Oryzias latipes: one gene and its partner. The protein of the gene in region 2 interacts with the protein of the main gene of each other region in a biochemical or structural test. Links are inferred from orthologs where the notes say so. Each region holds a gene or a part of one and is shown on either strand. Other genes may lie near its edges.

Evidence for each region.
Region 1: the proteins of jund (region 2) and atf3 form a complex in vitro, tested with the Homo sapiens proteins (2 studies listed by BioGRID and IntAct, with this or other methods). The link is inferred for Oryzias latipes from reciprocal best matches to the Homo sapiens genes JUND and ATF3.

What each region holds. Positions count from the first base shown.
Region 1 is NC_019882.2:23,401,208-23,417,436, forward strand, and holds atf3 (cyclic AMP-dependent transcription factor ATF-3), read right to left. Parts: upstream 10,750-16,229; 5' UTR 10,719-10,749; coding exon 10,625-10,718; intron 9,913-10,624; exon of another isoform or gene 9,912-9,912; coding exon of another isoform or gene 9,836-9,911; coding exon 9,660-9,835; intron 9,586-9,659; coding exon 9,478-9,585; intron 8,376-9,477; coding exon 8,097-8,375; 3' UTR 6,782-8,096; downstream 1-6,781.
Region 2 is NC_019862.2:13,813,619-13,829,683, forward strand, and holds jund (transcription factor jun-D), read right to left. Parts: upstream 8,517-16,065; 5' UTR 8,271-8,516; coding exon 7,446-8,270; 3' UTR 6,445-7,445; downstream 1-6,444. Other genes in the region: rab3a (ras-related protein Rab-3A), read left to right, coding at 432-550, 1,326-1,450, 2,796-2,986. UniProt on the Homo sapiens protein: Transcription factor binding AP-1 sites.

The DNA of each region.
Region 1 (16,229 bases), on a different chromosome or scaffold from region 2:
TTTTCACAGCAGTGTCCCAGGGCGTCTTTGAAAACGTGGTGGGACGTATGCCTCTTTTTTATGTCAGTATAGACTGCACATGTATTTCTCTGTTGAAATGGCTAAAACTTAAAGTTAACTTGAAATGCTGCCCCCACTGGTGATACAATGCCCTGATAAAGAAAGTGTATATTGTGGGGACCCGTACTTCTTCTCTTTAACCCTTGTGCTATCCTATGACCCCCCCCCCCCCCCCCTTCCATTGACGTGTTCTCCCTACCAGGACAAAGGTGGATAAAGGTGGAAAGATTTCATGTAATCCATGGACACCAGTGAAGATCACAAATCATTGAAGAAAAAAGGTTCAGAGCACTGTCTAGTGCAGGGGTGGGCAATTCCAGGCCTCGAGGGCCGGTGTGCCTGCATGATTTCCAGATAGTCTTGCCCTACTCGTGGCTGATTACCTGGTTCAGGTGTGTCCAGCCAATCAGAACATGCCAGAGCAGGGTATGCTGGAAAACATGCAGGAATGCGGCCCTCAGTGCCCACCTCTGGTCTAGTGGGTCTAGATGACCCCACTCCCAATGTTAAAGTGCCTAGGATAACAAAAGGGTTACACAAATTGTTTATTCTATGTATATTCAATGCCTTTTTGGACATTTAATGCCTTTATGTGATTTAACGTAGATGAAGCAAACTCTGATGAAAATAAGCCCCTTGTTATGACTTTTGAAGCTGCTGGCCGTCGGATTACAGCCTTATTATATGCCGAGGGAGATCACATCGGTTGTGGTGGTGAATGTTTATGTTCCTCCATCTGCCGATGCTGAGACCGCCGCTGACGTCATCACTACCACCGTTTCCCGCCTGCAGACAAAGCAGCCTAACTCCTTCTGCATTATCACTGGAGACTTTAACGACTTCACCATAGACAGAATGCTTGGGGACTTCAATCAATATGTAATCTGTCCCACTCTGGAGAATAAAACTCTGGATCTACTGAATGCAAATGCAAAGAATGCAGCAGGTCTGACTATGACCTGGTTCACCTTATCCCGAACAATGTCTCTATTGCCCTGTGGAAACGTGTCCACAAAAAGTCTGTGAGGAGGTGGACTCCAGAAAAGGAGCAGGCACTGCAGGAATGTCTGGAGTCCACAGACTGGGATGCTCTTTGCACGCCTCATGGGGAGGACATTGATGGCATGACGGACTGCATTAGGGAACATATTAAGTTCTGTGAGGAGTCTGTTGTGCCTACTCGAACTGTTCGATGCTTCCCCAACAACAAACCCTGGATCAGCCACTGCTGATCCTGAAGAACCTCCTGAACAGGAAGAAGAGAGCCTTCAGGTCTGGAGACCGGGAGGAGCTGAAGAGGGTGCAGCACCAACTACGGGATCAACTGAGGAATGGGAGAGATTCCTACAGGAGGAAGCTGGAATCCAAACTCCAGCAAGACAACATGAGAGCGGTGTGGTCTGGAATGAAGAAGATGACAGGTTGTGGGGGGAGAAGCAGACCCATCACAGGCAGCAAAGAGAGAGCTGACGAGCTTAACACCTTTTTTAATAGGTTTAGCTCTCTGAATGCTTCAGCCTCCTCCCCCCCACCTCCACCATACCCCCCCCCCCCCGCTCCTGCTGCCTCTCAGTTGTTGCACTTCCACCCTCATGAACCCCCTTCACCTCCTCACCTTTCTCCCCCCTCCACCACACCACACCTACTGGGCCCGCAGTCCAACCACCACCCCCCTCCCTCCCTGTTTGACTGTAACAGCCTGCCAGGTGAAGAAACAGCTGGAGAAACTTAACCAGCACAAAGCAGCCGGCCCGGATGGCGTCAGCCCTCGTACCCTGAGGACCTGTGCCCACCAGCTGTCTGCGGTTCTCCAGCATCTCTTCAACCTGAGCCTCAGACTGGAGAAGGTGCCCCCCCTCTCTGGAAGACCTCCTGCCTGGTCCCTGTACCCAAGAAGACCTCTCCATCTCACCCCGGGGATTTCCGTCCAGTTGCCCTCACTTCTCACGTGATGAAGGTGCTGGAGAGGCTGGTGTTGGCTCAAGTGAGACCGGTGGTGAGCTCTTCTCTGGACCCCTACAGTTTGCCTACCGGCCGCGCCTGGGGGTGGATGATGCTGTCATCCATCTGCTGCAGCTCTCTCACTCACACCTGGATGGTGGTGGAGGCATGGTGAGAATCACCTTCTTTGATTTCTCCAGTGCCTTTAACACCATCCGGCCTTCTTTACTGGGTGATGAGCTGCGGCTGATGGGTGCTGGTGCGTCCACTGTCTCCTGGATCACTGACTACCTGACAGACAGGCTACAGTTTCTGACTGGGCGGCGTCCTGTCTGACGTGGTGCTGAGTGGTGTGGGAGCCCCACAGGGCACTGTGCTCTCTCCATTTCTGTTCACCTTGTACACCTCAGATTTTCAGCACAACTCAGAGTCATGTCACCTACAGAAATTCTCTGATGACTCTGTGGTTGTGGGGTGTATAAGCGGTGGACAGGAGGAGGAGTACAGGAGGCTGGTGGACGGATTTGTGGAGTGGGCTGGAGGGAATCACCTGCTGCTCAATGTGGACAAGACCGGGGAGATGGTGATCGACTTCAGAAGGAAGAGGCCAGTCTTGCAGCATCTCTGCAACCTGGGCAAGGATGTGGAAGTGGTGGAGGAGGACAAATACCTAGGAGTGACTATCAACAACAGACAACAGACTGAGCTGGAGGAGCCACAGTACTGCTGTGCACAGAAAGGCCTGCAGCAAGATGCTGGAGATCTTCTTCCAGTCGGTGGTAGCCAGCACCTTCTTCTCCTCTGTGGTCTGCTTGGGAAGCAGCATTGCAGTCAGTGACACCAACAGACTGAAGAAGCTGATCAGGAAGGCGGGTTCTGTCATTGGCTGCAAACTGGAATCATTTGAAGCAGTGATGGAGAGGAGGTCACTGAACAAGATCTCATCCATCATGGACAACCCAGACCATCCTCTCTAGCCGGTTCTGGACAAACTGGACAATAATGCTTCTCTGAGGTTCATTACCAACTGTAGATCAATGACGCGCATCATTGTGACGTATATTCAAGAGTACAATGGCCTTCTCTGGCCACTAGGAGGCAGGGACATTGGTACACTTTTATTTACAAGGCCTTGCTTGGATTACTGCCTCCCTACATTTGTTCTTTAATTAAAAGGAGAAGTGTGGAATCTTACTCCTTAAGATCTAAAGTCCAGTTGTTGCTTTCTGTTCCATTTGCCCACACAGAGCTGGGAGAACTCTGCTACTTTTGCTTGGAATATGCTGCAGAAAGACTGGAAACTGACTGAACTGGTATCTTTAAATGTTTTTAAGGACAAGCTCAAAGCATCAGAGGCTGAAACAATAATGTGCAACTGCTTTTTCTGATGTATGTGGTTTTAATAATGTTTGTTTTTATGTATTTTTTGTATTGAAATGTGCTGCCTCTTGGCCAGGAATCCATTGGAAAAGAGGTTTTTAATCTCAATGGGACTTTCCTGGTTAGATCCTCGGATCAAAATCATTTAAAGATTTTTAAGAGCAGGTATAAAACCAGAGGTGACCAGTCGTTCCAGGCAATAACCCAGACTCTGGAATGCCCTCCCTCTATCTGTCAGGTTCTGGGCCAGGGCGGTTGTTGGGTTTTTTCTTTTTGACACTTCCGGTTTTTTGTCTCTGCTCGTTCGTTCTGTCTTTACCTTATTGGTCTCACCTGTTGCTGAATCACCTGGAGGGTATTTAGCCTACACTGATCCTGTCCCTGTCACGGGTTCATTTTGGATTATTGTTACGATCGTGAGTGTTATTAAAACCTACGATTTGACTACGAGTCCCTGCGTCTGCGCCATGGGTCACCATGGACCCAGCAGACATAGACAGTTCGCGTTCAGAGTCCTCCAACCAGGAGAGAGTGCTCTGCCAGCAGGAGGAGCAGATGAACTACTTACGCAGGGGTATGCTGGAGATGGCCAACCGTCAGGAGCAGCATCGATCAGCTGGCGCAACAGCTCCAGCAGCCGCCGCCGGTGCAGCCGCCCTCCTCCGCATCCGCCCAGATAGCCAGACGTCCTTCGCTCCCACGGTTCCGCTGGCCCGACTGGAGAGGTTCTCCGGTGCGTCTGGGGACTGTCGGGCGTTCATCACGCAGTGCGAAATGCGCTTCGAGCTACAAGCGGCCGCCTACCCCACGGATCACCCCAAGGTGGCGTTCATCGTTTCACATCTTACCGACAGAGCCGCCGCTTGGGCCACGGCGGAGTGGCAGCGCGGGTCCGCCTCCTGCGCTTCGCTCCCAGCCTTCCTGGAGGCTTTCACCCAGGTATTTCAACATACGAGGCCGGGTAGGGAGGCTGCCCGGGCACTGATGCGGCTGCGCCAGGGGAGGCGCCGAGTGGCGGATTACGCTATTGACTTCCGGACTCTCGCGGCCGAGAGCGCATGGAATCCCTCGGCGCTTATTGACGCTTTCGTTTGCTAAATTCCAGGCTCTCTCCTTGCCGCCGCACAGGCCCTATGACTGTGCCATTGAACTGCGGGCGGGCGCCCCTCTGCCTAAGGGCTGACTGTACAATCTGTCGAGGCCTGAGAGGGAGGCCATGGAACAGTATGTGACTGATTCTTTGAAGGCGGGTCCCTCCTCTTCCCACATGGGAGCTGGGTTTTTCTTTGTGGGTAAGAAGGACGGCTCCTTGCGGCCATGTATTGACTATAGGGGGCTGAACGGCATTACGGTTAAAAATCATTTTCCTCTTTCCCGGATGAACTCGGCGTTCGAATCCCTGCAGGAGGCTAGGATTTTCACCAAGTTGGACTTGCGGAATGCCTACCACCTGGTGCGGATCAGGCAGGGTGATGAGTGGAAGACCGCATTCAACACCCCGCTGGGTCACTACGAGTATTTGGTGATGCCTTTTGGCCTGTCTAACTCCCCTGCTGTGTTCCAGGGCATGATAAATGATGTGCTCCGCGTTTTTCTTCATCATTTTGTGTTTGTTTATCTAGACGACATCCTTATTTTTTCGCTGAACCCGGACGAACATCGGGGGCATGTTCGGCTGGTCCTCCAGCGGTTGTTAGAGAATAAACTGTATGTCAAGGCCGAGAAGTGTGATTTCCTCTCCTCTTGTGTTTCTTTTTTGGGGTTTGTCACTGCCGAGGGGGAGGTGCGATCCGATCCGGCCAAGGTGAGCACAGTGGTGGAGTGGCCCGTTCCCACTAACCGGAAGCAGCTTCAACGTTTTTTGGGGTTTGCAAATTTCCTACAAATTTCCTCCTAGATTCATTCGTAATTACAGTTCTGTCGCCTCACCTCTGACGGGTCTTAGCTCCCTCCCCGTACCTTTTCAGTGGACAGATGCTGCTGATGCTGCTTTTCTACGTTTAAAGTCATTGTTTTCCACTGCGCCGGTTTTGATCCAACCCGACCCCTCCGGTCAGTTCATAGTCGAATTAGACGCCTCCGACACAGGGGTAGGGGCTGTTTTGTCCCAGCACTCTGCTACCGACGGTAAAATCCACCCCTGCGCCTTCTTTTCTCGGCGTCTTACCCCAACGGAGGCGGGGTACGACGTAGGGGACAAGGAGCTACTAGCCATTAAGCTGGCTCTGGTGGAATGGCGCCACTGGCTAAAAGGGGCGATTCAGCCGTTTGTGGTCTGGACGGATCACAAAAATCTTTCATACATCCGGACCACGAAGCAGCTGAATCTTAGGCAGGCTCGGTGGTCCATGTTTTTAACCCGTTTTGATTTTCTGGTGTCATACCGTCCTGGTTCCAAGAACGTTAAGCCTGATGCCCTCTCTCAGCAGCAGGAACCGGTTGTAGAGGAGCGGGAGCCCACTACCGTGATCCCAGCTGACCATGTTTTGGGTGCTGTCACCTGGCAACTAGAGAGGACTATTAAGGGAGGCTCACACCCGTGAGAGCCGTGGTCATGACGGTGGTGGATCGGTTCTCCAAAGCAGCCCATTTCATAGCCCTAAAGAAGCTGCCCTCTGCCGTGGAGACCGCCGCACTGGCTGTGTCGCCTCGGTTCATCGGTCCGTTCGAGGTTGTGAAGGTGGTCAATCCTGTGGCGGTCCAGCTGCGTTTGCCACGGACAATGCGTGTCCATGTGTCCCAGATCAAGCCCCTCTCCACGAGTAGTCTCCATCAGACCGCTCCCCCGCCTCCGCCTCCTCGTGTCATCGACGAACACCAGACCTGGACGATCAGTCGCCTGATGGACGTCAGACGAGGATTAATATGAAATCTCAGTTGATGTGAAATGTTACATTTTCACTCTTAACCCTTGTGCTATCTTAGATGACCCCACCCTTCCATTGACGTGTTCTCCCTACCATGACAAAGGTGGATAAAGGTGGAAAGATTTTATGTAATCCATGGACACCAGTGAAGATCACAAATCGTTGAAGAAAAAAGGTTCAGAGCACTGTCTAGTGGGTCTAGATGACCCAACTCCCAATGTTAAAATGCCTAGGATAACACAAAGGTTAAAGATGTGACGGCTTGACATAGGCCTTGGAGCACTAGCAGCTGTTCAGGCCCAGTATGAGAACTCCTGAGCAACCAGAGTCTCCACCAGTATTGCCTATTGCCTGTTCAGACCTATCCACCCAGACTGATGTGCTAGATCACAGTTGTACTCTGAGTCTGACATAGTCCTGTCCAGAGCTCACATTTCCCATAACCATAAACAGCAGCAGTCATGATGCACAGTGACTATTTTCTGGTTTCAGTAGCTGAATGAAAGTGAGATAAAGTAATGAAGGACAGCAGGTTTCATTGGCTAATGGTGTTTTTAATGTAAGTATCAAAAACAAAGCTTGACAGATAGCAATAGAGGAAGAACACAGACGAGCAGTGGACACACAACAACACATACACAGACGCCTGCATCTTTTGATATTTGACAACTAAGAAACCACAAACAATTGTTTACTCATCTCAAAAAAGAAAGTTTAGCTCTCATTACCATCAAACCCTTGATATTCTGCAACCTGAGAGAGACAGTAGCTCAGAAAAAAATGCAAGTGTCGGTAGGTCGGAAACTTTCTTTTATCAAAATATTTCAAAAGTCATTTTTCTGCAATCATTGGAATATTTCCTTTATGTCAAGAAAAAAACAAAGACTGCAACTCAAAATGAAACCACTGACTTTTAGAGAGACAGCAGTAAGTTCAGAGCAAAACTGAGTTTGAAAACAAAAACAAATAATATATAATGATATAACTGAAAGCCAATGATTATATTCCAGAAAGCAAGCAAACAATGCTTTTCAGTTTGATTGAATGTACATATTAGTACTTTTCAGAAAGACAAGTTCTACCTTAGTCCGTTTGAAGCACTGGCTATTAGAAGAAAGACATTTTGGTAAAGCGAAAAATAAATCGTTCGAATCGAGAGCTTGATGGTAACTGAGCACTTCCACCAACCAGTGAAAGGGTTAAAGCAGATAAATAAATCAGGGGAGGTATGTGATTCTGAAAACACTGCTCTCAAGTCGCTCAGATTTAGAGAGAATGAGGAAAGAAAATGAACATTTTGACAAAAATGACTGTCAAAGGCAATCTAAACAGCGGCATGGCAGATGCTGTTTAGATTCACAGTTCCCAGCTGGTTCAGGGCTGATAACCAGGACTTGGTCTGTGGTGGGTCACTAAATCAACAACAAAAACTTGAAATAATAAGTGACGTCCTAAGTGGAGGTTAGCAGCAAGTTGGATCTTTCTCCTGACATCGGACAGAGCCAGGTTGTTTGGGAAAATCGGAACATACAGCAGTCATTCAGTAATTGTTCTCACTTTGGTGCTGCTGCTGTGCAGGCCGGGCTGAGCCAACAGAAAAAGTGCTTTGTTGAAATCTGACTTCAGTGCAACACACCAACATAACCATCAGGAAAGCTTTGATATGTGTAATGTCAAAAAAAATGCATGACAGATGTCCCCCTCCCTCACAACCCTCAGTGCATAGTCAGGTTTTTGCAGCTTTGTGTGAGCCAAGTGTGGCCCGCAGTCCTTTCTGGGTCAGGCCTGTTCAGGTCAGGCTAACACTCAGCTAGTCTCTGATGTTGGTAGGGGGCAGCCTCTGCTCAGTCATAGATCAGCGGGACAGCAAATGTGGTCAAGGCTTAGCGGGCCCCCCCCCAGCAAGCCCTCTGTGGTGGAGGTGAGGCTGTGAAGCTGGAAGTTGCTCTCCTTGATGTGCTGGAGGAAGAGGTTCCTCTCGTCCTCTGGGGTTTGTCCGTCCTGGGCCCGGACGATGCAGGTGGGTCGGTGCAGGTTCAGCATGTAGACCAGCTGCTGCTTCTGCTGCTTGAGCTCCTCGATCTGAGCCTTCAGGTCAGCGTTGATGCTTTCCAGCTTCTCTGACTCCTAACAGGAGCAGACGCAGAACAAACGGGGCTCAGTCTTTTGGAACATCAGGTGGAGGGATCAGAAAGCTGCTTTGGTTAAAAAAGTTCCAGGTCTGAAACCAAAAGAAGCTGCTGAAGAGAAACCAAGATCCGGGACACGCTTTTCATTTGAGGATAAATGTTTTTTGACAACTTTAATTCTTACCAAACTTTTATCTTCTTTTCCTCATGAAATTGTATTTCCATTTGTAAAATGCCTCAAATTCAGATCTTTTTTCTAGAAAGACTAATTCCACCTCAGAGAATCTGTTAAGTCTCTATACCATTGTCCAGGTGAATACTTAATTCTGATTGGTTGCAGTGTGTATATTTCAAAGTGATATCCCACACCTAAAAAAGAAGTTCCAGTCACACCCCCCAAATGTTCCTTATCACTGCAGTGGCCTAAACACAAGTCGGTATTCCGATTATCACCATTAAAACATAAACAAACATAGTTTGTCATGCCTTATTCCAGATTATTACAACAGTAAGACAGTAGAAAACATGAGTGATTTTATAGTTTCCTTTCACCTGTTTGGTTAATTTGATCTTTTTAGAGACTGCAGCAAAAGAGAACGAGAGAGAAGTGGATCTAGAAGGAAGAAATACGACAAGAGGAGGAACTGAACTATTTAGACTTTACAGTTAGTTTCTTTGAAACAAACTTTAACTTCCTCATCTGGACAAAAAGAAGCAGTAAGACGTGAACTTTCACACTGAACTGATGCTTTATTCAACCCATCAGCATATGAATCACTTTCTTTTGCCGCTGCAGTCTCTATGGCCATTACCATGACAACGTACTGCATATAACTTAGTCTGATTTTTGTGAAAACCTAAAAAAAAAAACAAGAATAAAGTACTAAATATTTCTTTGGGAAGTGACCATAGTATAAGCAGAATAATCTGCATTATCAGAAATGATGAAGGTTCACAGAGGCAACCTTCAGGCTTCCGTTTCAAGCACACAGAAGCTACATATCTGCTAAATGAGTAAACTGTGATGGTAGTAAGACACTTGGTCTCATGCATGTCCTCCAAAGAGCTCCTGGTTACAGCCTGGTGAAAACAGAGTTTACCTTCTGCAGACCTTCAGTCTTCTCCTTCTTCTTGCTGCGGCATTTTGCAGCAGCAATCTTATTCCTCTCTCGCCTCCTCTTCTTCCTGTCGTGCTCCTCTAGCGTCAGCTGAAACCCACACAGAGTTCTGAATAAAGAATCCACTCAGCAACAGACTGGCGTGGGGGGAGTACCTGCCTCACCTCTCTCTTGACCCCTGACTCGTGGGTGGGCGGGGCCTGGTCCGAGGCAGAGCTGGCGCTGTCAGAACTGGCGTCTGCACTGAGCCCGCAGGACAGTCGCTTGTTCTGGATGACCTGACGGAGCTCCTCCTTCACTATGGGGGTGAAGTTGGTGAAGTCTTCTAGAGTGAGTTCTCCTGGGGGGGACAGGCAGGGGACCAGGGCTGAGCAGCTGATGTCAGCCAATGACGGTCCCAGGTGCTGCAGCATCATTCTGGAGACACGGCAGACTTTCAGTCACAGTCAGGCTCAGCGTCCCCCCTCCCACCATTTGTCTTTCTGGTTTTGGACTTTCTTTAGCCCCTTCCTGAACACGCCCTCTGCTTTTTACAAGAAATACTTTGCTCTGGAACTTTTTTAGTTTTTTTTTAGCTAATGTTGCACTTATATGTGGCTTGGTGTTTTTTTATCTAGTATTTGTGTAGTATCAATGTTTTTCCACACAGGTTTCCAGTAGCATAAACTAACTGACTACATTCAGGCAGAAACGCCCACATGAACCCTAAAGATCTCTGACTGCTAACCAGAGACTTCCAGGACAGATTCTGCTGAGTAATAATGACATCATGAAGATAAAGAGTCAACACATTTGTTGTGTAACAGCAGGTGAAGGAGGTTCTGCTCCTTCAGAGGAACATCCGCGGCTACAACGGAAGAAGAACTTCTGATCATCACACCGGTTCGATTCCCTCCCTAAGGCGTTTTTGAGTGTTATTTACTGACTGAAGGTAAACTGGTAAGCAGAAAACGAAGGTTAAAGCGGAGGATTCAAATAGAAACACTTCCATGAACAGAAACTAAGTCTTTCAACGAGAAGCACCTACAAACAGTTTGCTTTCTGTTTAGAGCCACGGCCGGACCGGACCGGACCGGACCGGCGGAAAAGCGCCCCCCTTCCCCGCCTCCAGCACAAGACAGGAACGCACCTTTGAAAGTTCTGGTTCCGGCTCTGGTTCCGGCGTGGACTGCTCCGTTCGGTTCCGCAGTACTGAGTTGCGCTTCTCGTCTCTCCCGTTGCATCACCCACTTATAGGAACTCCAGGGGCGGGGCTTAGTGACGCAGTACCTAGGAATCCTACTAGACTGCGAGGGTAGGAGGGGTGGGGGTGGGGAGGGGGATGACATCATCTTATTTATAGACTCTGATCCAGTGATGATGCCACCCAAGGACCAAAACGGGGGTCCCCTTCTCCCCCCAAAGCACCTGAGATAGATAGATAGATAGATAGATAGATAGATAGATAGATAGATAGATAGATAGATAGATAGATAGATAGATAGATAGATAGATAGATAGATAGATAGATAGATAGATAGATAGATAGATAGATAGATAGATAGATAGATATAGATTCAGGTAAATACATAAAATTAAATGGCTTTTAACTTTTAAAACATTCTTTTTGATCACTTTCCTTTTTTTTCTCTTTAGAGATCTGTTTTCCTCCTGCACCCCCCCCCCCCGTTTGTAAATGGGTCACTACTGTTGTAAACTAAAATTTAAAAATGTAAACTTTTACAACTTTTTAAAACATAAATCTAAAACGTTGTTCCAGAATAAATCAACTTAAACTCTAAATAACTTTATTTTGCTCTACTCTCAAAATTAAACAAGATAGAAATAAAGTAAATATTAAAGAAAAAAATTCAAATTTCATTAAACATGTCATTTTATACAAAAATTAAGTTCAAATTGTAAATATCCCAAAAGATTTTATTCTCCATAAGATTATATCCTGCCCAAATTATACAAATTCAGCGTTTACAAATCATATCATTCTGTTTTCTTTACTCCTGTGTCATTTGATCAGAGCTGAACGTCTGGCATCGTTTTGTGTCACACAGTTGGTTTGTGTTTGCTGTGAGGTTCTGTGTTGTGGAGATTCTCAGGATGGACTGCAGGTGATCATCAGTGAGACGACAGCTGTCTGCTGTTTAGTTAGTCTTCATCACTGAGAAGAGCTTCTCTCACAGAAATGTGCATCCAAACATGCACAAAGGTGGAGCCATATGTAGACGGAGCTGGGGCATTTCTGCAGGAATGGAGAGAATAACCCTTGTGCTATCTTAGATTCCCCCCCCCCCCCCCCCTTCCATTGACGTGTTCTCCCTACCATGACAAAGGTGGATAAAGGTGGAAAGATTTCATGTAATCCATGGACACCAGTGAAGATAACATATCATTGAAGAAAAAAGGTTCACTGTCTAGTGCAGTGGTTCCCAAACTTTTTCTGCAGGGCCCCCCTTTCTGAAGATTAGAATATTTTCAAGCCCCCCCAGACTGACACAAACATACAAATCCTTTGTTTCTAAACTCCACTGGACTTTACTTAACATTGTAAGTCATACAAAATGGCAACTTCTTCCTGAACAAAACCAAAAAAACAAAAACAAATCACCTTTACAATTAATTAAAGTGACACTGTCACTAGTGACACTAGTGTGATTCCCTGGTAGTCGGAACACCCCCTCCGGTCTCCCTTCTTGAACCACCACCCCTGTCTGCCAGTCCAGTGGTACAGTTCCCGACTGTCACGCGATGCTACAGAGACGTGTCAGCCAAGACCCTCCCACAGCATCCAGAGACTTAAGGTACTCGGGGCGGACTTCATCCACTCCCGGGGTCTTGTCACCGAGGTGCTCATTGACTACCTCAATGACTTCAGCCTGGGTGATGGACAGCCCCACCCCAGTCCTCAGCCCCTGCTTCCTCAAGAGGAGGTGTGTCAGCAGGATCGAGGAGATCTTGGAAGTTCTTGGAAGTTTTCCTTCTACTGCTCGACAATATCACCAGTCGAAATCAACAGCTCCCCACCTGCACTAAAAACTTTTGCAGGTTCTGGTGTCGGAGTCGTTTATGTGGGAAGCTCAAAACAGCAGAACACAGAAGTTTGACTTGATTTCAGAACAATTGCTGTTTTTAAAGAAAAACCAGCAATTGTATGTCTCGAATCTTGTGCCTAAAACAGATGTGAAAAAAGGACGAGTGAGCAGGAGTTCACAGCAGGCCAGCTGCTCCCCTCTGGTTTCACTGTGACACAACTGCAGGAGTCTCATTCTGAGAATCAGAAAAGGGAAAGTGAAACACCTTTCTGCTAGAATTTCCACGTGGTCAGGTGATGTAGTTCTTTTTGTTTAACTTTCTTAAAGTCTTTTGAAGCCACAGCAAATCTTCAGTGGGAGTTGGAGGGTGCGATTGCATGTTTGCTCACTGCTTTACAGTTTTTCTCAGTCGCTTTAGTACAATTCTCAGATCAGAATGAAATTCCCCAAACTATTTGTTCAATCTTCACATCATGTTGTCACTTGTGCACATCATATAAGCAGTTTCTCACTTCTTTGAACAAGTTGCAATTGCTTTGGTACATCCATGCAAATGATTCTGTACAATTCTCTGCTCTTTGCTACATTATCAATTGTTTATGTCATGTTGATCAAAATGTATTATATAGTTCACTGTGCAATAGTCTTACTCCTCAAAACACCTAGTCATTAGTTCATCGTCATTAACTGCAAAATGGTTGACCGAGTTGTCATAATGTGACAAACATATTTCGCTGCATTGCTGGAGAGGATATTCGCTGTGATGTGGATGAGAATTTGTGTCCTAACAAACAGGAACGACAAGAGGTGTAGGAAGACCACACCAATTCCTACTGCACTTCCTGTACTGTTGGACAGAATATTGTCCTATCTTTTTTTCCCTTTGTGTTACTGTTTGCAGTGGGTTTTTTCTATGTTGGTATGACATGGTCTGTCAACAAATTACAATAAGAACAATAAAAGTGTAAATGTGAATCTTGTCCAGTCTCTTGCAATCAAACAAAAAAGGTGTAACTTCCATTTTACAATAATTGTCATCCAAACTTTAGCCATAGTTTCCATCAGAACCTCCCTCTAAAGTACACAGTTATATTGACAACATGACTAAGTCATTTGACTGTCTTGTTCGTAGACAATGACACAAGGACTTGACATTCTGATGGCACTGACATGTTCAATGACATAAAGACTTAGTTTGGAGAGATGAACTAAAGATTTTGAGCAAGTTACAGGCTTTTGCAAGAAAACCATTGTGTTTTGCTGTTTGTACAAATTGTTTTGAGAAATGCACACACGTATTTGCAAACTTCAATTCTGATCTGAGAATTGTACTAAAGCGACTGAGAAAAACTGTAGTAAGAAAAAATTATTTTCAAATTTCCATCCAGACTTCTAGAAGGCGTTCGCAGCATTTATGCTGATAATTCCTGGGTCCATGCTTGCTTCCCAATAAAGCCACCAGGAGCATCAGGGGTTTAATTTCCCGGAACCAAGAGGGTGACGTAATCTGCTTCTGCAGGGAAGCAGAGATGGGCAGAAGAGGAGGAGGAGGACTGGGCTTCTTCCATTCAAACTCTGCACAGACAAAACAAAAGAAAAAGAAAGCATAATTTACCCTCATATAACAAATTAGAATGTATTCCTAATAAAGCAGAATTACAAAGAAGAGAACATCATCACATACCCGCTGTGAGGCTTTGTTGGGTCATGATAAAACTGGAGAAAGAGTCTTCAGATTCAGCATACATAGTGTTTATTTCCTGTGTTGCATCATCCTTTCCGGGAAGCTGCAGCTCTTCCTCCTCCATCTCAGTCACTACGTGTTCAGTAACTACCCCGCCCCCCACCTTCCTTCTGTTTCTTCTCGTGCGCCCGCTGCTGCACAGCATGATTACGGACACGTTAATGTGGCTTTATAGCTTTAAGTCTTACGGCAGCCCAGTAGGGTCCTTTGCACTGATCTGAGTGATTCGAGCTTTCCGGTAATTGTCTGAGCTGATGATGATGCCATCCCTCTGAGGAAGGCTGCATGTGAACTTCTAGGATTTAAGCGGATTCTGACACAGCAGTAACTTTTCCAGACGGGGTGGGTGGGTGAGGGTGAACCCGTCCAGCACGTGGCAAAACGTTGCAGTACCCCAAATGACCGGTGGTTCTGGAGCTCACTTTGATTGATCCCTCTCCCCTAGCATTCCAAACAGGAAGTAGCTACTGTCTCCAAGAAGCTAAAATCCCACAGACTTCTATTGAGAAATGACGAGCTGCTACTCATTCTACTTGTCGAAATAGCTATTCTTGTTCGAATACTTTTGTTTTAACATTTTCTTGCCAATCCATATTTTTTATGATATTTTTTCTTTTTTTCCAAGTTATAACTGACCAATCAGATGCCTCAATAATACCATGTAGTGCCCACTGGCCCACACCACATTTGATTGCCAGACTGGGGTGTGGACTTCAAAGGAGTTTACTCCTGACTAGAAAATGTAGTTGCCATAGAAACATTGACTCAGGCCAACCTGGACCAATTCGTAGCTCTGTTTACATGAACAAACGTAATCGGAATAAACACCTAATTGGGATAAAAATATGTCATGTTAACATTCGGATCAAAACTTCTTTCCGATCGAGATAGGTGGGTTATGCCGATTGTTGATCAGATGGTGGTGCATGTAAAACAGTTTATTCCGATCGTGGGTCACTACTGGTGTAGGTCATGCGTAGACGGTGTGGTGCTCTGAAGGAGTCTTTGGACTTGGAGTGCAAACAGGAGCGGCCGGCTGCAAACCATGTCTCAGAGCAGAGCAGCCGGACTAGTAGCTTTGTGTTTGTGAGCTGGGGAAGGTGCTTTGTTATGGCATGCGCTCCGGAGAAGGCTTCGGACCACAGTTTGTCCGGCTGCTCTGCGTGAGTGAGCTGCTGGACTCAGGAGAACTGTGTCTCCCGGTAAAACGGTGTCTCTGAGCAGAGGACCGGTTTGGGACGGTGTGAGCTAACAGAGGCAGCTTTTCAAAGCAGAAATGCAGTGTTAACAATCATGTGAATTTGTGTTTCCAATCGTGTCCAGACTAAAGTAAGGCTGACATTATTGCAACGTATTTACGTTCAGCCAAAGTGCACATCGCGGCAATGACCGCATGAATTTAAACTGCCTCTATGGCTAAGTGTTGTTAGCTCGTAGTATTAGCCTCACCCTAACCCTTCTTCCAGCTCTGTGCTGCCAAAGAAAAAGCACTGGCCACACGGATTAAAAAAAATTATGACCGAACAGGCACTTAATAATAGTCCTAACAATAATAAAATCACGTTTAGAGGACCATCGCGTTCCATGCTGCTGCATTATTTGTTTTTTCTTCTACTGCAGCTGTTTCTGGTATTTTAGAAAGTTCTGCACAAGTCAAAATGACTTTTTCCAATCGAAAGTGTGGCGTATGTAAACGTTTGTTATAATCAGATAAAGTTTTTCTGGACCCATGTACAAAGTCCAATTCTAATCCAATCGTTGATCCGATCAAATACATTTTGCATGTGTAACTGCAGCTACTGTCGCCTGCCGTAATGCTAGCTTGATGTCAGCTTTTTGGCTGACATCTCATGTATTTTGTCCACTGTGATGGTACTTTGTCGTTTTTACGTTATCATAAAATAAACCTACCGTCCCTCAATCCAAATGGTATTTTCTGATATTGATTATAACCATTTTTTTCA
Region 2 (16,065 bases):
TTAACTCTGATATAGCAAATTTTGCTCAGCAGTAAACCTTTTTTCAAATGCATTTTCAATAGATTTGCTTGTGGAGCTTTGCTGCAGAGGCAAAGCAAAGTCTTGTAATCCTGTCTGCTCTGCAGTGGTCAGCAGCTCCAGCAGCAGCACTTTTTTTTACACCACCACCAACATTCACAAGTGCTTACTGGTCTCTATCTCATAGCTTTGTCAAAGCCACTGATACAATTAAAGGCATAAAAAAATCTGTAGAAGCCTTACCAGTGTTGAAATGTCAGATAACCGTTGTATTTGTCAGTATTTTTAATCAGATTGATGTAAACGCCTGTTTTTTGTAACCATACCAGCTTTGAAAGAATTCATCTGCCAGAAATATTTTTTAGTTTAAGGAGACATTGAGGGGAAATGTGTCTGTTTTCTGCTCCCCACAGGATACGGCAGGTCAGGAGCGTTACCGCACCATCACCACGGCTTACTACCGAGGAGCCATGGGCTTCATCCTAATGTATGACATCACAAACGAAGATTCCTTCAACGCCGTGCAGGACTGGTACGTTTTTTGGGTGTAGGGGAACTTGTGACATGACAAAAGCAGATGCTGGCACCTCCAAATGCAGATGACAAATGAAAGTGTAGTTGAATATCCACACTATTCAGAAAACCCAGAAATACAGCAACAAAAACAACAAGGCGGGCAGACGTCCCTGTGTTTAAATGAAAATGAAATGCTGAAACAAGCCGGATCTCTTATCCTTTTGGTCGCCTGCTGGGACCGTGGCTCAGTACAGAATCAAACCTTCTGCCTCTCTTTCACTCAAATCTCTTATCTTCATTCTTTTTCTTATCTTTTTTTTAATTCTTTTAAACTATAAATGAATTTCTTTTGCAGTCAGAGTACAAAATATAACAATTCCTTTTGAAAGCTAAAATGACATTTTATTTCAAATATTCTGCCTCACTATTATAAAATAGCTGCTTGTCTTTGAACAAACAGCAGAAGGGATGAGGGAGTCACAAGTGCTGTGCAAACAAAAACCTCTTTGTCATTTCTCAAACACGGTTTTTATTCAACCATGTGCCTTCATATCCTGTTTGACAGCTCTGACAGAAGCACAATGCTACAACATGACAGAAAATGCCCCCGGAGTAAAAATCAGATTTTAATTGCATTTGCAGTTTACATTTGCAATTTTGCTAATGCAAAAACACAATTGCATTTCATTTGAATTAGCAGGGGTGCACTTAGTAGAGGTTGAAGTTAGCTTTGGTATATCAACGTGGCTGGCAGAGAAACCAATCAGACTCCTGTTTGTCCTGGTTCCCAGGTCGACTCAGATTAAAACGTACTCGTGGGACAACGCTCAGGTGCTGCTGGTGGGAAACAAGTGCGACATGGAGGACGAACGGGTGGTGAGTGCAGATAGGGGTCGGCAGCTGTCTGAACACCTTGGTGAGTTCCACAACTTCACATCTCTGATTTATTGCTGTTCGTGCTTAGAGCCTCGTCAATCTGATGCTACTTTTGGTTCAAACTGTTCTAGCAAGAAAACTTTGCTAAATGCTTATTTAATCAAAAGAACTTTACTGTAGATCCAATTCTTTAGAATTCAAACACATATATTTAAAAAGAAAGGCTAAAACCTCAAGGGTTTCTGTGGTGGATTTGTTTGTGAGGGGTCTCCATGTTTTATTTCTGAGCTTGTGAGTGTTTTCTTTATCCCTCAAAATTGCCATCCTGCGTTCACTGGGGTCACAGAAGTGGTAGATTTTAGATTGTTTTTAGGGGGGAAAACTGTAAAATGTTTTTTAAAAAGAATTTCAAACAGCACTGAAAATATGTGGGAGGGACCCCACACAGAGAAACACAAAAGCCAAATGTCTTTGCTTTTTTATAGTGTCCTTACTTAGAGATGCTTGAAATAGAGGACTTCAGTTTTTCCATTTTTGGCATAGTTCAAAGACAGAAAATCCAGAAAAAACATGAAAATGTTTGTGTTAAGTTCATTGTCATGAAATCTGAACATCAATTGTGTCATAAATTGATTAAATAAACTTTTCTTTTTTTAGTAGCTGCTAAAACAAAACTGACTGAATGGTATAAAACTGTCAAAAAACAAATCCTCTTGCTCATTTTTCTACTTTAAATCTGAGATTGAAGATATTGTGTTTCATTCATTTTCAACACGTGGTTGACGTGTTGACAAATGTGTCAGTGCATGACAGCTTGGTCATTTTTAGTAAATGACCTAAACACAAGAAACCAAGTTGTTCACCTTTTGACTAACCCCGTTAGGGGTCGCCACAGCGTCTGGTTTGGCAGAGATTTTTTAACGTTAGATGCCCTTCCTGACATAACCCTGTATTTTCAAGGCACAGGGAGAACCAGGGTTTTAGCTCATTGCACCCCGATTGGAACCCAGATTTCTTGTGTGACAGTCCTACACCCAGCCAGTTAAGCTTTCTAGCCGCTAGGTCTAAATTCAAGAGATCAGGACTTATTGATAAACTGTGATAAACTTGAAATAAGGGAGAACTAAATTATTGTAAATAAATAATCTGACAAATAAACTGACAACTAGAATTTGATATATCCTGAGGGTTAGTTCAAAACAGAAAATAGCTTTGGATAGTAGTCAGATTAAAGCTGGTGTGATTGATAAGAAAACGTAACACCTAATTAAATCAATTGAACACTAACTTGCTAAAAGAATTTGCTCAATGATCTGCCAGTCTCTACAGGAAAAGAGAAGGAATGCCATTTTGACCTGACCGCCTTGCACTTCTCTGTCCTCCAGGTTTCGAGTTCTTTGAGGCCAGTGCAAAGGACAACATCAATGTCAAGCAGACTTTTGAGCGCCTCGTCGACATCATTTGTGAAAAGATGTCTGAGAGTCTGGACGCCGGTGACCCTGCGGTTACAGGGGCCAAACAAGGGCCTCAGCTCACAGAGCAGCCCGCCCCTCCTCACCAGGACTGTGCATGTTAAGACGCATTCATTTTTTCAACCCGTTTCTCTCGTCTTTATTCTTGTCCTTCGTAAGCTGTACCCCAGATCCTCAGGTCCTTATTTCATCCCCCTTTTCTCACCTATGTTGGTTCATGGGTTGATAATAAACAACACAAGCTGAAAGTTACTGAAATGCTCTGACGTCCAAACGTTCCAGCGTTTAAAGTGTCTGCCCCTTCATTCTTTTATGTAATAGGGGAAAAAGGTGTTTTTCTCAAAAGACACGCTTAACCAAAGCCAGAGCGACTTCAATCCAGCCAGAGCATTTCAGACTCTTTGCAGCTGAGGTGCTGATGGTTTTACTGTTCCCCATTGAAGGATTTGACGGCTGACATCCTCTGAGTGCCATTTAAATCCTTCCAACGTTTACACTAGTTTGTTTCATATTGGTTTAGGGAAAGAAAGCCAGCCTGATCTGGTGAATGAAAAGGAAGCTGTGGCATTAGATAAGAGGGAAAATGATCCATCTAAAATGAATTCAAAACCATTGTGCTGTGCGTCATGTAAAGCGTTTTATTTTCTCATCCATCTATAAGGATAACACTGAAAACCACAATCTTAGCTAGCTTTCCCCTTTTAGCATTTTTTAATCTTATGTTTTTGCATTTCTCTTCTAATCATAAATTTTGTGTCATTCATTCTACTTTTCATTTATTTACTAACACTTGGAGGCAAAGAAAGGAACAACCTAACTGGCATAAAAAAGCAAAAACCGAATAGAAACGTATTCAATTATATTTATTTAAAATGTACATATAAATGTTGTGCAATATACATATAAATATATATATATATAAATAAGATACAAACCAAGAATGCGCTTCTTGAAAAAAGTTTTAAAATAAGTTCTTCAAAGGACAGTATCTAAAACGAGACGTCTGTGTTGTGGTGTTTGTTTGGATGTGTGCAGGCAGCTTCACGGGGAAGATTAGAAATGTTGAAATGTCCTTTCTTGCCCGGAAAATTGAATTTGGAAATCCAAATTACAAACTTTACTGTCATAGACTGTTATTTATTCCTGTTATTTTCCAGTTGCTGAATCCACACGGTGGGATTTCCCCTGACTAAAACACAGAATAACATCTTTGTGTGACTTATTTATTGGAGAAGGTTGTTTGAGCAGTTGCAACGTCATCAGAAATGTGTTAAAGTGTCTAATCAAGGCACCACAAATTTGCCCTTGTTGTGGCTTTATTAACAGGTGTAAAAATGAAAGGATATGGGAAAGCCATTATGTACCATACAACAGCTTTATTGAACTAACTAACATCACTAGGTTATTTTTTTATTTATTTTTCATCTTTAATGCAGGTGACAGCTTCTCACTTGTTGCACATTGTGGTATTTTGTTTTTCTCTTAAAACCCCCCCACAAAAGTGAGTAAAGACAGTTTAGGATAGAAACAGAATTTGATAGAGTTAAATAAATCAAAACATATTGAGACCACTGCAGCGATTCGCAACATCAGTTTGATCAAGCTCATAACTAGTATTATCTTCTTTTTCTGGTGCTCAGCTTTGGCAGGATAACTAACACATTAACATACATCAGTGTCTCTGTTTTGAACAAATATGACATCTGAAGAATGGATCTCAGTTCATATTTCTTCATTTGCAACATTCATAGAGGTTAAAACATCCTGCTTTTTCCCTTTAACTCATCAGCAAGCAGGATGAAGCTTTCTCAGAGTCACAGAGCAGCCTCTGCAGGCTCAGTGTGGACCGAAGTTTGTTCACGGCAGAGATCAAAACAGGAGGGGGTTGACCTGGCTGGCATCTTGGGTTGAAGCTGGATAAACAATGCAGTTACATTTCAAAGTCACACAGCTCCCCTAACATGGTACAAAACCAATTTCTGAACTAATTTCAAAGTAATTTCAAGGCAAAAAGATAAACAGAATCAGTTTTGCAAGTTTTATTTATAATCAAAGAGTAATTTTAGAATTACACAACATTTAAACCTAATCTTCTTGGTTTAAGTTCAGTAAAATATTATGATGAAACAGGCCGATTGGTGAAATGGTGGACTTCATAAAAGCTGGAGGATTTGACCCTGTGTATGTTTCTGTTCTTACTGGTTGTGACTGTTTATTTTCCAGTAAAAACGAGTAAACTGCTCTCCTTTCTAATAAGTCTTCCTCTCCATATAATCCTGCGCTGTAAATACTGTATCTTTGAGTTTAAATGTGTGGATTGTGTTGTATCGAATCAGGCTTGCATTAAAATACAGGAAAAAAGAGAAGAGGTGAGGGGAGGGAGGTGGAAAAGATGAAAACTCCAAAATAGCCATGATGTACTGTATCTGCATTCATTTCTAGGCCTGCTTGTGAATGAATGTGTCACTCAGTTACAAAGCAATACCCACTGCAGCAAAGCATACAAAAACAAATGCCATCCAGCTTAATAGAGGTTGCTGACAGTAGATATTTTACAAGCACGCAGAAACATGTATCCTTATTTGGTCTCGTATCACTGCCTCTTCAGATCCTTACAGTTTGGGCCATTGAGATGAGAGGACATACTGTGGATGTTTTTATCTGTAATTTGTGGTAAACAATTAAAAAAAAAGCTAATAAGCACCCAACTGTGGATTTTTTTTTTATTTTTTGAGATTTTATGGGTTCACAAAATAAAAAAAACTGCCTTAACTTTGAAAAAATCTTCAAGACCACCAACATATCATTGAACACAAAGCCTAACATGAAATAGACCAATCTGTATAAAAGTTGTAAACTGTGTGACTTCTGTGCAGCAGCTTCTTGCACCCAGCAGATGATAATTGGAAGTGACAGGCCTGGCATCGAGCAGACAAATCAAAGTGACATTTTACCTTCTGGCTGCAATCTTTCCTCACACTGACTGAAGCAGTATGTTGTACTTTTGACTTCTGCTCCAACAGCTATAATCTGCTCTATTTAGGAAGCACTGCCATTCAATAAGCAGATTATCAAAATAGGATGTATTAATAAATTATACTCTGCATAGGCTTGGTCACGTGCAACCACCTTATTTGAGTTTTCTGATGGCTGTTTTATATGATTATTGACTACAATTTAGCAAAATAAATTATGAAAACTATCCTGTATCGAACTTAATGTGAATTTACAAGCAATTACATGCATGTAAACTAGAAGAATGAAAAGGATTGCCTATCCAGTTGAATACAGACACTAATTATGCAGTAAAATGAGCTTTAAATGACAAAAAAGTATTTGATAGTAGACTAAAACTATTCTGAGGGTTGATTTTATAATGTTCAATTACAATATTTCACTCAATACTCCTGTTATTGCTCAGTTTAGGCGTGTTACCCAGTGGTGTCCTGCTGTTAATATTCTATTCAACCAGCAGAGGGAGCACGACACCATACTGATCAATACACCCACTCCAAAAATTCAGAAATATTATAATTTTTTCTACAAAATGACAGATTGGGGCTAAATTAGCATATTTAATTAGGGCTTTTAATTTTACGATACAATAGTCAAATTCAAGAATTATTGAGCATTTAAACAAGAACAGTTTGTTTCCCCAAAAACATCATGAATCTGGCATTAAGATTACAAATGATGTTTGTACGAGAATTTCTTGGATTACGGAATAAAATGTTTAAATACCGGTATTTCTTTTTTAACCAGTCATTATTCTGCTCTTTAATTAGATTTGTGTTGCAAACGTGACATTAACCAGACACGGTTTTATAGTAGAGCAGCATTTAATTCAGAACACGATGGTGTGTATGAAGCCAAGTCACAGTAGACTTGACCAAGTCAGTGCAACAAACTGGTTACAACTGAATGTTAAAAATGAAAATACACAGACATAAACACAATAAAGTATAAAAAAAATAGTAAAAAGATAAATACACACATGTTAATGTGAAAATGAAAATAAAAACACTGGTAAACCTGTCCCCTGTGACACCAAGCCAAGGGCAACATTCGAGTTGGTCAGCAACATGCAAGCTGTTCCTTACAGAAATGCAATACATACAATAAATGCTGTATATAGATCATCTTAGATATCAAATGTGGGGGATTTGTCTTTCTTGCACCCATCTTTTGGTGCCCATTGAAGTAGATATATTCGTTTGGTCCATGTATGAGACTGCATCCAGTCAGTAAACATTTTTTATAGGAGAAAAAAATGATGATCTTACATTGTTTCAATCCATTTGCTCTCATCTGTAAACAGACATACGAGGTAGAAGATTTCTATAGGGTCGAATATGAGCCTGATCAAATACATAATTGGACTTCACTTAATCTGTTCAATCAGATGGTGAGCATTAATCACCATTTGAATTTGGACTGGATGGAATTGCTACCAAAGCTGACATGGAACCCCGTTTTGAACAGTCCCACGGGGCTACAGAGACCAACACGGACTAAGTCCATCAAGCTTATGTGCTGGTCAGGAGCCTCCGGGGCGTCTGTCTCTTAGTGCACTTGTACTTCGTGGGGGAGCAGCTGGCAGCCGCTGTTGACGTGGCTGAGGACCTTCTGCTTCAGCTGGGCCACTTGCTCCCGCAGCAGGCCGGCCGTCGACGCCAGGTCGGTGTTCTGGCTCTTCAGCGTCTTGACCTTGTCCTCCAGCCTGGAGATCCGCTCCAGCTTGCGCTTCCGACACTTGGAGGCTGCGATTCGGTTCCTGAGTCTTTTCCTCTCCGCTTTGATCCGCTCTTGTGAGTCCATGTCGATGGGAGACAGCGGGGGGCTCTCCCCGAAACTCTGGACGTCGGGGACCGTCTGCGGCTCCTCCTTCAGCGGCTGGACCCGGGAGAGCTCCGGCTGCGACGGGGCTGCCCCCAAATGATGCGGCGGGGGAGGCGGAAAAGGGACGGTGTCCGTGGAGTAGTTGACGGTGGTCCCCAGCGGGCCGCTGCCGCCGTAGCTGTTCAGGTTAGTGTACACCGGCAGGTCGGGTTGGACGCCGGCTGGAGCGATGTTAGCCCCGAGGTCCAGACTGCTGTTCGTCTGCCCGGCTCCGCTCAGCTGGTTCTGCTTGTGTAAGTCTTCCAGCGCCTTCACGAAGCCCTCGGCGAATTCCTGCTCGTCCGTCACCGTCTTCGGGTACAGGAACTGGGAGCTGGTCGGCGTCGTCGTTACCATTCCGTTGGACTGGATGATTAGTCTCTCCAGCTCGGGAGAGGCCAGCTTAAGCAGCCCCAAATCTGTGGAGCTCAGGATGCTGTCAACGTCTCGAATATGCGGTTTTAGGTCGGAATTGTCCGAAAGGCTCAGGTTAATGTCCTTCTTCATCATTTCCGTGGGTAAAACTGTGATTAAAAAAAAAAACCGGGCTGCGCGACACTCCCTCAGAAAAATGCCCGGCCCATAATCTCACTGAAGGGAAAGGCGTTAAAACGATGTAAAAATGTTTTCAATGCTGGCAGCTCCACGGTTGAGTCAGAATGTTCGCTCGCGCACACCGCCTCGAGCTCTTTTAGACTTGAACATTCCATAATGTCACGTCAGAGCACGCGGCGGGATGGGCAGAAATTACGTTTTCTGAATTAAGAAAGGAGCTGAGCAGATATGACGGGAGAGAAGACAGGCGGCTCACTCTGAGCCTTATTTTGAAAACAAAAAGTAGTTATGAAACTGAATCAATTTTCTCCTAATTAACCCGTCTAAATGCTAAGCGTTATAATGAAATCAAATAATCCGGTTACGAACACACACATGTTTTAAATATAATACTGGAAACTGAGTGATCTGAATTATTGCACCGTTTGTCAGGTGTTTTAAAATACACTTTTTTATTTAATTTTTGTAAATTCACTTTAAAAACTTTTTTAAATACTCTGTTTCCTTAGGATTCTGTTGAAATGTGTTTTTAACTTAAACTGTAAACATTGAAATAAATACTATAAGAAAAAAACTAAAAGTAGTACACAACTTCGAATAATTTTTCTGCTTTACGTTTTTCCCCTAAATAAAGCAACAACAAAAATCCACACACACCAAAGTTACAAGCAAATTAGGGAGCCAGTTTTGACAATATTTTGAACAGCCTTTATGGACTGATTCAAGCCGTTCTTTCTACCAATTAACCCTGATTTCACAAAATAACAGAATTAACACACAATTATGACATCCAATTTTAATTAAAGTCTTTGAAAGTTTGGTATGTTCCAATGGTTTAAAATCCAAAGCTTTTTTCTGCTGTTCATCTTTTTAAGAGACGATCTTTGCTCACACCACTATTGCCATGGAGAAAAAGAGGAAAGCACAAACAGTGAGGTGGTGCACTGATGTCATTGTGGGTGTCGATCAGCATATGCCTTCGTTTTCAGCACATCTGAAAGAAAAAACTTAAATAAAAACCATTTGCAAAACACTTAGAACAATGTTCAGTTAAACAATGTTACATTAAAAAAGTATGTTTGTAGTATTTGTTAGAAGATGTTAGTAAGCAAAAAAGCTAAACCCCCTGATGAGTCAGGAGTCTCACTTCTCTTTTGAGACTTTTAATGAATAACACAAGTTTAGGGAAGTTTAATCTGGAACTGATTCACTTTTAACACATCTTTATTTACTTGCGGTTTTGGATTTGATTGAGTCTCACTTTCAATATTTGTCTAATGAGCTAATTTCAGTTGTTCATTTTCCATTTCCACAATTTAGTAAACCAGAAAGGTTTGAGACATAATTTAAATTTGGAGGCAAAAAGCACCATTTAATCATTTTTTTTGTCTTTTCAACTTATTTTATCCAAGTAATAGACTTTGATTCCCAAATTTTAGACAGTAAACTGGAGACATTAGGATATGTTAGAGCTGTGAAGCTTCTCGGCCGTTATATTGTTTTTAACTCTGGGTCCTTCCAACATCTCAATGCATTGTTGTTTGTAATTCCCAACACGGTCAGAGGCAGCCACTCTAAGAATTTTTCTGTCATACCCTTGGATAATGTGTGCAGAATGTCAGCAACTAAGGCATGCAAGCTGTCAAGAACTGGTGATGTAGGAGATGCTGGAGACCAGGCTTGGTGGTGGAAACTTAAACGTTTCTTCTTCTTGTGTAGTCTTATGGTGGACAGCAACCTTAAACATTTAAGGAATAAACTAGAACATGACAAAAACCCATGCAGAAAAAAAAAGGTGATAAAGCAGATACGCTGACGATGAAGAGCTGAAAACCAGACACTAGGCTGGGGACACTTAACAAATGAAGACAGCTGTGGATGATTAGTAACATGAACCAGGGGGGTATTCCAGAAAGCATGTTTAAACTACCCTGACTTTAACCCTGAACTCTAGGCTGAAATCCGCCTGAACTTGCTTACTCTGGGTATGTCGGTTCCAAAAGACCGGATATGAGTTAGCGTAATTACGCTCAACTTGGTAACCCTGGGTTAATGCACGAGCATGGCAAGTAGATAAAGACATTCTCAATGGATCGACGATTTCCGGAGTCACCATGGAAACGCGTGAAGAACAAAAGCGAGTGCTATACTTCAGTGAGACGGAGTCAGAAATTTCAACGACAGCATGTGAAGATTATACGCCCATCAAAAAAGTAATACGGCTGCATCATCAGCAAAATAACCATCCAATCCTGAACTCACACACACACACACACACCCATGTCTCTCTCTCTCTCTTTCTCCTGTCTCTCATTATGTGCAATATATTATTTGCACTATATCTCTGCTATCATGGGCATAGCAGTGCAATACCTACCTCACTGTGGAAAGTAAAACTTTTCAGCTAAATTTTTTACTGTACATTTTTTTGGACTTAGTAAATTGTACATTTTTTGTGAAATAATTTTCCTTTTGCATTTCTTCACTGTACAGTGATCAGCTCTCATTTCACTGTATGCGCGTGTGATGCGAATTGTACATGTGTATAGTGACAATAAAGGCATTCTATTCTGTTTTAAAAGAAAGAGTTTCTGCTTGGAGAAAAAGAAGAGACAGAGTAAACGCACGAGTTTCTATCTCATTTCTATATTCATTGTGACGCATATATATATATAAATTATCCAACTTTGCCAACTTAAATGAATTACTTCTATTGGTAACAAGTAATTGAGTAAAATTTATTCAACCTAATTTCTTACGTCTATCCAACTCAATAATTGTTTATACAACTCAAATTTACATATCTATCTAACTAAATGTCATATTACTCCAATTCAATTAAATGTTCTTCCATATTAATTTATTGTACTTCTTGAACTCTCATATGTCTAAGTTTGAGCCTGTAGATATTCTCGTTTTTATAACAATAAAATGAAAGAAACACAATAGACATGTAGTATGAAAGCATATGTAATTTCTCCAACTTTAACTTCACAATATTATGTGGTAGGGGTGCTAAATAACTCATCATCCTCTCCTTCCCTCTCACTCATGGTGCAGTAATAATTAAACATAACAGGACAAATAACTTGGCAAAACACAGTAAAACAGCTAAACAACTAAACACATTTGGTCAAAAACCCACACTTAAACCCAAATCCGTCCAGACAGCCAAAGGGAATGGCATCCCACAATTCCTTGCGGTGCCAATCTAACAGCAGCACCAAACTTACAACTACTTAATTGAATTCATTTGAATGAAAGTAAAATAACTGTCTGATGACTATGTGTTATTTTTAAACTGACTTAACTAAAAAAAAAAAGATTTATCTTAACTGAAGCAAATATTTAAGTTAGTTTATGTAAAAAAAAGTTTATATTTCCAACATCCATACATGGTCTTATCACCCTCTCACGGTGGAAAAAGTATATCTGAGCTTCTACATCCACTAAATCATCTTCAAATGGAAACGCCATGCTCCTTCACCTCTCTAAAAACAGACTAACCTTCAATTAAACCTGCTTCAAACCAGGTCATGTTCAGAGCATTAGTTGTTATGGCAACTTGACATACCCTGAAACATACCTACATTTCTGGAACTGAAAGCTGAGGTTATCCGCTTCCTTAGCCTCAAATTTACCGAGGTAACTAGCATAACCTGCTTTCTGGAATAGCCCCAGGAGTGACAAGACATATTCAAAACAATAATTAAAACACCGTACTGGAGTGCACAATCCTCACACAAGCACTATTTATATATATATATATATATATATATATATATATATATATATATATATATATATATATATATATATATATATATATATATATAAAATGTATTTATTGATTGGAAAGGAAGTAAAACAAAGACGTATACTTTGTGAACATTTGCAGCAGCTAAGTTACATTTACAGGCTTTTTCCAACCTCATTTTTTTGGTATCATCCTGACTTACAACAATTTGAATGAAGAAATAATCAGAAATGCAACTTTAACCTTCGTTTTCTTTATATATGTCCTTCATCATGAGAAAAATGCCACAATAACATACACCGAAAAACACAATTTCCATATGAGTGGGTCTTTAAAACGTGTGATGTTTTTATCTTAAGTTTTTATTATTTTCACCCATCTTTATGTCAGTGTTTGTCTTTACTGTTATGAAGCCCTTTGGTTAGTTAAAAAAAAAAACGACACACTTGATTCTTTACGATTTCATGTTTATTATACAACTACCGGCATGAAGCCCATCGAGATGACTATTGTTGTAATGTAATGTTGGGCTATATAAATACGATTGATTGATTGATTGATTGATTGATTGATTGATTGATTGATTGATTGATTGATCTGAATGGAGGCATGGATGTAAATTGACAAGTCAAATTATTATGAAAAGATAAACGGACACAGCTTTAGTTCAGCTCTAAACCTGCCCTCTCTATATTTAAAATCTTCCTCAAAGAACTCCTCCTCGTCGTCGTTCTGCAGTGCTTCAACGGCCAGTAAAGGGTTACACAGAGGAGAGCTCGTGCGTCACAGGTCCAGGTCCGTCGTATCCATCGCTGCGAAAGCTTTGCGCGGGCGGATCACATGACAGCCGCTTCGACGTCACATCTTTTTTTTACACGGCGGAAATGGAAGTGGTTGGTGTGTGTTTGTGTGCATGTGCGTGTGCGTGTGCGTGTGTGCGTAGCAGATATACATGTTTAAAGGCTGCCTGAGAGTGGCGGTTCTGTCAGCAGGCGGTGGCTGGAAAGCATGCGCTCATGTCTTCTTCAGCTTTACCACAGAATCTGATTTTCTTTCCCTTTGATTTGAACCATTTGAGCCAAAACAATGTGGAATACCCAAGAAGAGAATCTGAATAAATGAAGCCCAATTCTACACTTTGATTCATGCCTATAGGCCTTTATTTGGGGTTTAAAAATATATATTTATTGTCTTACTATATATTTTAACTTTTGGGTCTTCTTTTGACCATTTATAATATTGATAAACTAATTTGATATTATAACTATTTTTGTTGAGTTCTTCAACATTTTTTCAATCTGTAAAAGTGGACTAAATTTAAAGGCCCACTCCAAAGAAAATGGTGCTTTTGAAATGTTCTTGCAGGGAGGTATGATGAAAATTCAAATTCAAATTAAAATGACATACCTGAGTATTTCTTTATGCAAATCACAGTGAATCAAGTGCAGACGAAAAAATGTCTTTTGAAAAAGAGCCTAGTTACCTACAAACTACAATCAGTAGGCCACAAGCTCCCTGCTCCGCTCCATGCTGATGCATCCACCTGCAAACAAATAGATCCATGTATGCCTTCTCTGCCTTCTTTTCCGACCTTTGAGCTAGCATCTAGCTCAAAACCTAGGATAGCTCCAATATTGACTGCCTTTTTTTTTTTTGCACTGCTAATGTTAGGTCGAGGTTGTGAGGGGTTGTAAACTAGCGGGAGAGCAGAAACTGCAGAAACTGTCTTAGAAAACAACAGGTTTTTTTTTTGGCTAAAAATGGCATAATCATAATTAAAAGACCTCTGGGGACTATTTTACAATAGATGAAAAGATAATATGAGTGGGACTTTAAAGACTTTAAATTCTTTGTAATGGTTTTTAACATAAATAAAGAAAATGTAAAATATTTGTGTGATTGGATTGTTCCTTTCTAAAGGTTTTCTATTGTACATGACTGGAAAAATTAATTCAGTTTCAACGAAACACATCTTGATTTTGTGTTTTTCTACAGTATTTTGTGATGTACACATGAAACAGAAACATCAGTTTGACAGTAGACTGCTGAATTCCCCAAGGAAAAGTAAAGAATTGGAGTACAGGTCTTTTGGAAGAACTCTGCATGAGGACAAGGTATCTGCTGGAACTTGAACTACATCTGAAGGACATTGTAGTTGTTTGCCATAAACATGCATCATGTGTGTGCTTCAGCCTTAAATCAGGATGATAAAAACCAAAGTAATGGCGAGCTATTTAAAAGTTCCTGCAAAATGACATTTTTTTTTTGTTTGTTTCTATTGATTTTATTGTGAAGCTTTGGTGCCATGTCAATAAGGAAGATCTACAATTCATCACTTCTGGGGTTGTTACATCACTCCTTCAAAACCGTCACTCCCTACAAATAACTGAGTTCCCCACCATTTCAGGCTCTGGAATTTATTCCTCTACGGTCCAACGTTATCCCACCAGCATGACAGACGTCATCAACCCAGAGCCTAACCGCCAAAGACTATGGACTTCTTTAATGCATATCTTTTTTGTCACAAATATATCTCTAATTTATTCACAATCTTAAGAACTCTTTTTATTGAAATGTCAGCTTTGAGTTCAGCATGGGTTACTGCTGAAGGGTGTGTATGGTGTACACAGGTGTTCACTTTGTAAAGCTTAGGTCCTGTTCAACAATGCTGTAGTGTTTGAATGGCAGGTATGTGAAAGTGTGAGGACATCTACTTGAAGCAAAGCGGGATTCTGCAACCCTTGCACATCCACTCCTTTTAGATTCCAGAATTCTCCATAGCAGTTCTTAGGCCACTGCCAATCTCACGCCGCCTTTTGGTTGGAATGCAGATGAAGAAACAGAAGCAGCTCTTACAGTCAAATTCAAATTTCAATAGTTTAACTGTAGTGGTGTAGCTGTCTAAGACAGAGACCACAAGTGAAACAAAAAGATTCACACATGGTTGACTAGTGGTATTAGATCTCTCTTGTGCTTTTTATCTTATTTTTGGTGCTTTTATTCTGACAACTCAATGACTAATATCATTCCTCAATATTTGAAGTCTTAAGCCTCTTCTCATACATTCAAATCTGATTTGGAAAAAGGGAATCAGCCCTTTTAGTCCAAGTTAACATTCAGCTCAGATACAAATGCATGAAGTAACAAAACAGATTCACATGGTCCTAATGTATTCATGTGAGTCCCACGAAGAGTCTCCATTGAACCTGATGACGTAGTTTCAAAGTGTGGGTGAAGTTCCACACTGAGGGAGGATGTGAAACCCTTCATGCTCGACAGACAGGTGTATGAGTGCGTGCAGTGATGGTTTGTATAAAGTATACCCCTGCACACACAAGCACACTCACAATGTCGACCACAAACCTCAAACGTAAACCTTTTCATCACTATGCATTAGCTCATGTTGAAAACATACAGTTTTGCCTTAATAATGTTTTCCGAGTGTAATGTTTACCATCACAGTGATGTGCGTTCTTTAAAAGAATTGAAAAGCTTACTTTCCGAACACCTTCCATGAAATTACCACTCTGCTTTAAAAAAAAGTAGATAATCTGTATATGCAGTGGATTTTATGTACTTATGTTATCTTTTAACAATAACATCTAAGGCAACAAATTCTATCTTATGCTGTTTGCAATCTGTCAACATTTTATATCATTCAATAATTGCCACAGCTGTACAGCATCCACATTCTATAAAGGTATTATTCATTTTTGAAAAATGTCTTTTTAGAAGCAAACTACTGACTACTTTATTCTACACTAAACTGAATTATGAGAATCATCTTTTGAATGACAGATTGAGTTTTCCATTCATTTTGCACTTCTAACCTGAAACTGAAAAATGTAAATGACATTACACAGATGTTTCTCCCTCCCCTTCTGTCTAGTTTTTTCCCTCTTTATGTGTATTTGTGCATAGTTTTTAAGTCTTACTTTTCAATATCAACTTCCAAATGAATGCTCCCATGGGCACTTTTGTGGAATGGTTTGT